Ovis aries: one gene and its partner. The protein of the gene in region 1 purifies or fractionates together with the protein of each later gene. This does not show direct contact. Links are inferred from orthologs where the notes say so. Each region holds a gene or a part of one and is shown in the gene's direction. Other genes may lie near its edges.

What was found. Proteins that work in one complex are often made in the same cells at the same time.
Region 2: the proteins of MOB1A (region 1) and PJA2 purify together in Homo sapiens (affinity purification with western blotting; 3 studies listed by BioGRID). This does not show direct contact. The link is inferred for Ovis aries from reciprocal best matches to the Homo sapiens genes MOB1A and PJA2.

Annotation. Positions count from the first base shown.
Region 1 is NC_056056.1:95,981,615-95,985,266, reverse strand, and holds part of MOB1A (MOB kinase activator 1A), read left to right. Parts: intron 1-497; coding exon 498-661; intron 662-1,604; coding exon 1,605-1,682; 3' UTR 1,683-3,652. UniProt on the Homo sapiens protein: Activator of LATS1/2 in the Hippo signaling pathway which plays a pivotal role in organ size control and tumor suppression by restricting proliferation and promoting apoptosis.
Region 2 is NC_056058.1:105,931,458-105,935,002, reverse strand, and holds part of PJA2 (E3 ubiquitin-protein ligase Praja-2), read left to right. Parts: intron 1-92; coding exon 93-207; intron 208-595; coding exon 596-717; intron 718-3,232; coding exon 3,233-3,358; 3' UTR 3,359-3,545.

The DNA of each region.
Region 1 (3,652 bases):
AAATTCCCAAAAGTAAATTTTTCTATTTATAGTCTAAACTGTAAATAGAACTTCCTGGGAGTTCCCTGGCAGTCCAGTGGTTAAAACACGCTTCCAATGCAGGGGCTTAGAGTTCGATCCCTGACTGGGGAGCTAAGATTCCCCACAGGCTGCATGACAGGGCCAAAAAAACAAGAAACAAACTTGTTGCTGTTAATTTTAGGGGGAAATTCTCCAGTGTTAAACAAGTAAAATTCAACTTTGATTTAGTGTCATCTTCCATAACTTGTCACTTGTGCCTGCTATTCTAAGGCAGTCAGCAAAAGTGTGGTATGAAGATACCTCACATACTTAGGTTTGGGTGGTTTTTTTCCCTTGCATTTTTGAAATATATATATGGATAGAAGCTTGTATTTGTGAATTTGTGTATTGGAGATGTTCATGGCATTGTCTAAATTTTTCTGCTATTTATTTTCCTCTTACTGATAAAGACTGATTGAGACATATATATATTACAGGTGTCCCATTTCCTAAAAACTTTATGTCTGTGGCAAAGACCATTCTAAAGCGTCTGTTCAGGGTTTATGCCCATATTTATCACCAGCACTTTGATTCTGTAATGCAGCTGCAGGAGGAAGCCCACCTCAACACCTCCTTTAAGCACTTTATTTTCTTCGTTCAGGTAAGTTGAATTTGGTGTGTCCTTTGACATGGACGTATTTGAATCGGTAATTAATAAAGAGTATTTATAATGTCTTATTTATAGATATAGAGGTAAGCATGCAGAGTTCTTCTGTTTTATTCCCTTTTTCTTGTTTAGTTCTTTGATGTACATAACAGAATAGAAGGCCTCACCCCCATTTGGGGCCTTTTGCCTCTGGAGAGACCTGCCCTCTGATTGGAATATGGCATGAAGCACCAAACACCCAGGGAAGCTTATCAACACCCTCATGTCCCATTGCCACCGCTGAATAAAGGGATGCCATGGGGAAAACATCTAGGGTTGTGTCATTTCATGAGATGTCTATGCCTGGAGGAGAAACTTTTGGAAAAACTCGTTAGCTACTACTATCTTGAGTTAAGTTTCCAGAAGTCTACTTCAGGCCGAATCTTACAAAATTGGCAGCTAGAAACGTCACAAAGAACTACCTCCTTCAGAGGTGTGGCCTATTTCCTTATGGGCCCTTAGTTGAAATTAGAACTTTTTAAAGTAAAAATAATTCACATTGTTTGAAAAAAATGATCAAAGAATAGGGACTCCTTAGCCTAACTTTAGAAATATCTCTCTATAGCTATTTTGATGGGAAAATCAGTAGCTTTTAGAGTAGATACTATATATCCAGTTCTGTGTACCACACATAGGAGGATGTACTGTGGTTTCTTTTTTGTCTTTCTTAGAGATTTTTGCCTGTCATAGATAGTATGTAGATGTAGGTATGGAGGCCACTGTCAAGTCCCTTGTATTTTAAAATAGGGAGTAAAAATGATCCTCTTTTAAAATATTCATAGAGATTATTTCATCATTCTTTTGGATTTCAGAAAGCTAGAGTTGGGAATCCTTTCTCTGAGTGACAGAGTTTTAATTTTAGATCTACTTTCTAATTTTATTTTTCTTCTTTTTTTAGGAGTTTAATCTGATTGATAGGCGTGAGTTGGCACCTCTTCAGGAATTAATTGAGAAGCTTGGATCAAAAGACAGATAAATTTTTCTTCTGGAACAGTACCTTCTTGCTTCATCTACTGCTAGAGCTATCTCATTGCTTTCTGTTATAGACTAGTGATACAGACTTTAAGGCAGGATAAAAAGACACCAATTGTCTGTCTACTGATAAAATTGTCCCAAAGGTAGGTTGGCCTAATACCTTCAGAGAGAAATTCAGGACATGGCTGAATTCGAGGCACTGTATGATCACTGCTGTTACTACCGCAGAGTCATTTTTGGTTGTAGTATATGAGGACTAACTTGTAGTTTATTAGTTTAGTTATTCATTTACTGAAGAAGATGACTGAAGTCTGATTCAGGTAACAGCATGATGGATATAAAATATTTCTACCAATTTGTTAACAAGCTTCAGAACAAATTTCCTAATAATGCAATCAGATCAGTTTTATTCTGCTTTTATTTTACAAATAGAAGAGGCATTTTGAAATTTTCTTTAGATTAAAAACATTTGTGTTACTTTGGATAACCTTTTAGTTTGAAGTTTGTATGCTCTTTTTTTAATAGGTTATATACATGTATTTTTTTTCAAAATCCACGATTACAGTTTAAATCGTCGTAAGACATGGTATGGGAGCAACCAGAGTTATTTCTAAAATGACTTTATTTTTTAATGTTTATTTGGGATTTTATTCACAGCCTATCTAGATTTTTAGTGTGTATCAAAGAATTTTTTTAAGGCATCTAAGAATTAATTTTCTTGCAGATTTTTATTTTGAAAAGCTTCATTCAGATTAATTTTAATATGTAGGTTTTGGCTGAGAAAAGGGAGACTTCCAAAAAAATTATAACAAATTTTGGTCTCAAAAACCATTATTTTCATTCATGTTTTTGGTTTTGGAGGCCTTGAAATTTGGATAGGAGAAGAGAAGAAAGTACTCGAGTACTTGATTATTTTGTTTTGAGTTTTCCATAAATAGAAACTACTTCTGTGTATTTTTATTGTGTCTTGAAACTTAGTTAAGAGTAGTGTAGAAATGCATGAACTTTATCCCAATAAGGTTAAAACATAAGGAAAACCGTAATTAAAAACCTTAAAGGTATGCACATTTTATAACCCAGCTCAAAGTTTGGTGTGCTACATGTTCTTTCATGTGTGTGTGTGTGTGTGTGTGTGTGTGTGTGTGTGTCGGGGGTAGGGGGGTATATGTTTAAAGGACACGAAAATGGGATAAGTAAAAAAAACTTCATTCTGTTAATAGTCAAAGGATGGATTGGCATTTAATTTGTTTTAATTGTTTTTGTATCAAAACTTGAAATTATTCTGTTGGGGTAAAAAGAATCTCCTTAGTGAAGAAAAGATCTAAGTTTCGTTAGATTTTTCAGATCGAGACTGAAGTGTATTGAGGCACACATATTACTAAAGACTTGCCAGACTGGCAACACTTGAAGTTCATCAACATTTGTTTCAGAGCTATGATTTTTGCAAAGTACTCACCATGTTCCTTGATACCTTTGGTTAAGGTTAAATTTTGAAGGTTTTTTTTGTTATTTATTTTTATTATTCTACTAGATTGTAAAGAAAAAATGACTTGGAAACTCCATTTTTGTAATAACTCAATTTCAATAAATTCTTAAATATATATAGAATTTTAAAGGAAACAAAACATTTTATCTAATTTAGGCTGAAACCATACATCATTGTTTTGGGAAATAGTGGGAAAATCTCTTATTAAAAAAAGTCCTCCAAGAAACATTCCATAATCCTCATTTTAAGATTATCCGAAAGAATCATCAGGCATTCTGTATGTTTATGTTGATCATTTCCAAACAAGAAGATTTTTAGAATGTTAGGATGTTACTGCCTCTTGACTTTTAACATTGTTGGCTTTAATTAAGTCTGCTAGGAATGAAATATTTCTCAAGTAAGATTATATTTTTATCATTTCTAATATTTCAAGTATCATCAAATAAAAGTGTTCTTACTTTCCTTCATTTATTTTCAGTGGTAGA
Region 2 (3,545 bases), on another chromosome or scaffold:
TTGGATGTGAGTTTAGATGACACCTTTAAACATGGCTTTCATTGCTGCTTAAAAAGTGTATCTAACAGAGTGTTGTGACTGTCCATTTTCAGACTGCCCTGGCACACTTAGAGTCTCTCGCAGTGGATGTGGAAGTGGCCAATCCACCAGCCAGTAAGGAGAGCATTGATGGTCTTCCAGAGACCCTTGTGCTTGAAGATCACACTGGTAAGAGCAAAGTTTATCTCGAATAAACGTGTCAGATGGCACGTTGCGTATTCAAGTATGTCAGCCAGGGCACATAGAAGACAAGAGTACTGTCAGACATTTTCATTAGATTCTCTGTGAAACTCAGCTCCGACGAACTTACCTAATGGGATGTTCAAGTTCATCAGGTAGCAGGTTGGGCAGATGCTCTCCAGTCAGCCTTTCTACAAAAGCAGTGTTTGTTAAGTTCTGAATTGTCATGCATTAAGCAGAAATGCATTGCCAATTAATTGATCAAATCCTGGTTCTTTCATCTTCTGTAGTTAGCATTTATGAATTAGTGTGTTGGATTTCAACTTTATTAAAACGGAACTTGGTGGGATTGATGAGTCGCATCATCTGTTTTCAGCTATCGGTCAGGAGCAGTGCTGCCCAATCTGCTGCAGTGAGTATATTAAGGACGACATAGCGACGGAGCTGCCCTGCCACCACTTCTTTCACAAACCTTGTGTCTCGATTTGGCTGCAAAAGGTGAGCTGCAGGTTTACTTGTTTAGAATTAATATTTTAATAATTTCTTCTACAAGTTAATGAAGTTAAGTTAGTGTTTTTTAAGCCCGTTAGCTGTGTACTCAAAATATTTTTTAATTTAGTGTTTCAAATTGGTTACCTTTTAAAGATTACAGATTAACGGTAATATCAAGCTATTTTACCTTACTAAAGAGTGAGTCGCTCAGTCGTATTCATCTCTCTGTGACCTCATGGACTGTAGCCTGCCAGGCTCCTCTATCCATAGGATTTCCCAGGCAAGAACACTGGAGTGGGTTGCCATTTCCTTCTCCAGGGGATCTTCTTACCCAGGGATTGAACCTGGTTCTCCTGCACTGCAGGCAGATTCTTTACTGTCTGAACCGTCAGGGAATCCCTTTAACTTACTAACATTTTCTAAAAAACAATGAGAGAAAATGATGTTAGGATAAAACTAGTTAGATCTTTGATTGTATTTCTGAAATCGGATGTTTTCAAAAATATCTTAAGCTGGGAAGTCTTTGGGACTACTCAGAGTACTGTAACATTGTACAGATATTCTGCTAACATGAGACGGTATCTCTAAAAATGAGGATAAACAAGGTCTTCCTGTGTCGCATAGGCAGCTGTAGTTAATATCCTGTTAGGAACCGTAATGGAAAGTAATATGGGAAAGAACACACGGATTCGCCGTATAGTAGAAATTAACATTCTACATCAACTGTGCTTCAATAAAATATTTAAAATGTAAAGTGAAAATGTGTTTGATAAATATTTAATAACCTACCAAGTACCTCTGGTGCGATTTTTATATACTGTGTTTTAATGTTCACCCAATAATTTTTAAGTATATTTGAATTACTTAAAAAAGTATTCTTTAAATCTCAGTGAACTCTGTTCTCCCATAAAGGATATTTACATGCAGTTCAGTGGAAGCTTTCCCAGCTTGGTTACTTCCGGATACGGCGCTCCGTCTCCTCCGTGACTGCTTCCTTTGGTCGCCTCTCTCTCTCACATCCACCCTCTCCGTCCTCCCTTTTCTTTCCCTTCTTTTGCTTTGGTCTTGGTCCCCTTCTACTGCCGCTTCATCTCTGTCAAAATTCGAGTTACTATCTCTCAAATCCAGTGCAGAAGTGTTCATTATTCCTTTCTAATACCCAAAGTTTCTGCCTAGGCTTTCCAGGCCTTCTGGGACCTGGTCTGTCCTTCAGATTTACTCCTCAGTACCTTTACTCATGCCTAGCCTGGTGCGAGCATCTCCTCGCTGTAAACAGAGAGGTTCTGGGGAGGTCCGGCTTGCGTTCGCCTTTTCTGTTCTCGGCATCCCTTCCGTTAAACGCCCGCAATGGTGTCAGAGCCGCAAGGAGGGCCTCGTGTGGTCTCTGCTGCTGCGTGTCCCTCCTGGGTGGCGCACGCGCGCTTCCCCGCTCCATCCTGGCAGCTCGGGGACACGTTGGTGTCCTCACTCACGTCTCTGGGTAGCTGTCACTCCCGCAAGGCTCCGCGGCTGGAGTGCTCGGCGGAGACTGGGCTCCTCTGTGTGGCTCTCAGGTGTTGCTCTTCGGCTCCATCTCCGTGGCAGGTGCACGGTGCCTGTTTGCTGAATTAAGTTCTTGAGTTGTACATATTACTTATGTTGTACAGTCTTGAATTGTGAATGATTTTGCCTTAACCCAAGGTCGTAGTTTCTTTATTCTCTTTCCTGTCAGGAAGCAGCATAGTGTGAAGCCTTTCCTCTGGGGAGAAGGTTCCCAAGATTCATATCTTTGTCACCTTCAAAAGCATGATTTCTTCAACCTATTTTCTATCGGGGAGATCTCTGGGAAAAAGAAGATTTGTGAGGGGATTATCTATTGCCAGGTGGCAATCTCTGTAATCTGCCGTTGGTCCTAAAACCATGCACTCCCAGTCTAGCTGCTTTCCCTGGTCCACCTTCCCTCATTGATTTGTTTTATTATTCAGAAGGCACCTAACTCTTCTTAACTTTCTGAAAAGGAAGTATATGGCTTATAAAGAAGGGCTGCAGTCCATCTGCTCTGACGTATCTGTACCACACTAGAGTGAGGTTTTACTATATATGTGGAAGATCCTAGGGGGCTGATTTGATGTAATAAATACGTGAATTAAGTAGGTCCCTGGTTTCTCTTAATACATACATCATAGATGCATAATAATTCACTTTAGAGGAGGACGTGCCCTGCGACTCCAGCTCACCCCTGTGGCGCCAGTGCTAAGTGGAGAGGAGAGTAGATGCCCAGTGAGTAGATGAGTGACCTGTAACACACAGAACTGATGGGGAGACATTGGTCCCCTCAGGGAAGTCGAGAGTCTGACTGGGATGAGGGGAGAGTGCCTCAGAATTCTGCTTCTCTGTATTCGTGGATTGGCGTTCATTTGTTTTTACATTATTTGACTTTTTTAGGATAATGCTCCTGTTCTGATACTTCATAGCAGTTCAGACCTTTCCGTTTGTTGGCTGCGAACTTGCTTTTTCTCTCCCTCCATTTTTCTCTCTCCAGTCCGGGACCTGCCCCGTGTGCCGCCGCCACTTCCCACCTGCTGTGATGGAAACGCCCGCCGCTGCCTCCTCTGAGCCTGATCGTGACACCCCCCCTGCGAGTGACAGTGCTGCAGAAGCCCCCTAAGCCTTCCCACTTGAATGAGATCAGTCTATCAAAGTAAATCTGCAGATTCCTTCTAAATCTGATGTGCAAATAATTATATATAAATATATTAAAAATGCTATATATAGTCTATGCCATAGTTTAGAAAGAGAATATTAACCTTTCTAAACTTAAGTTTAGGTTTGCAGAAAGTGCTAAACGTTTTCAA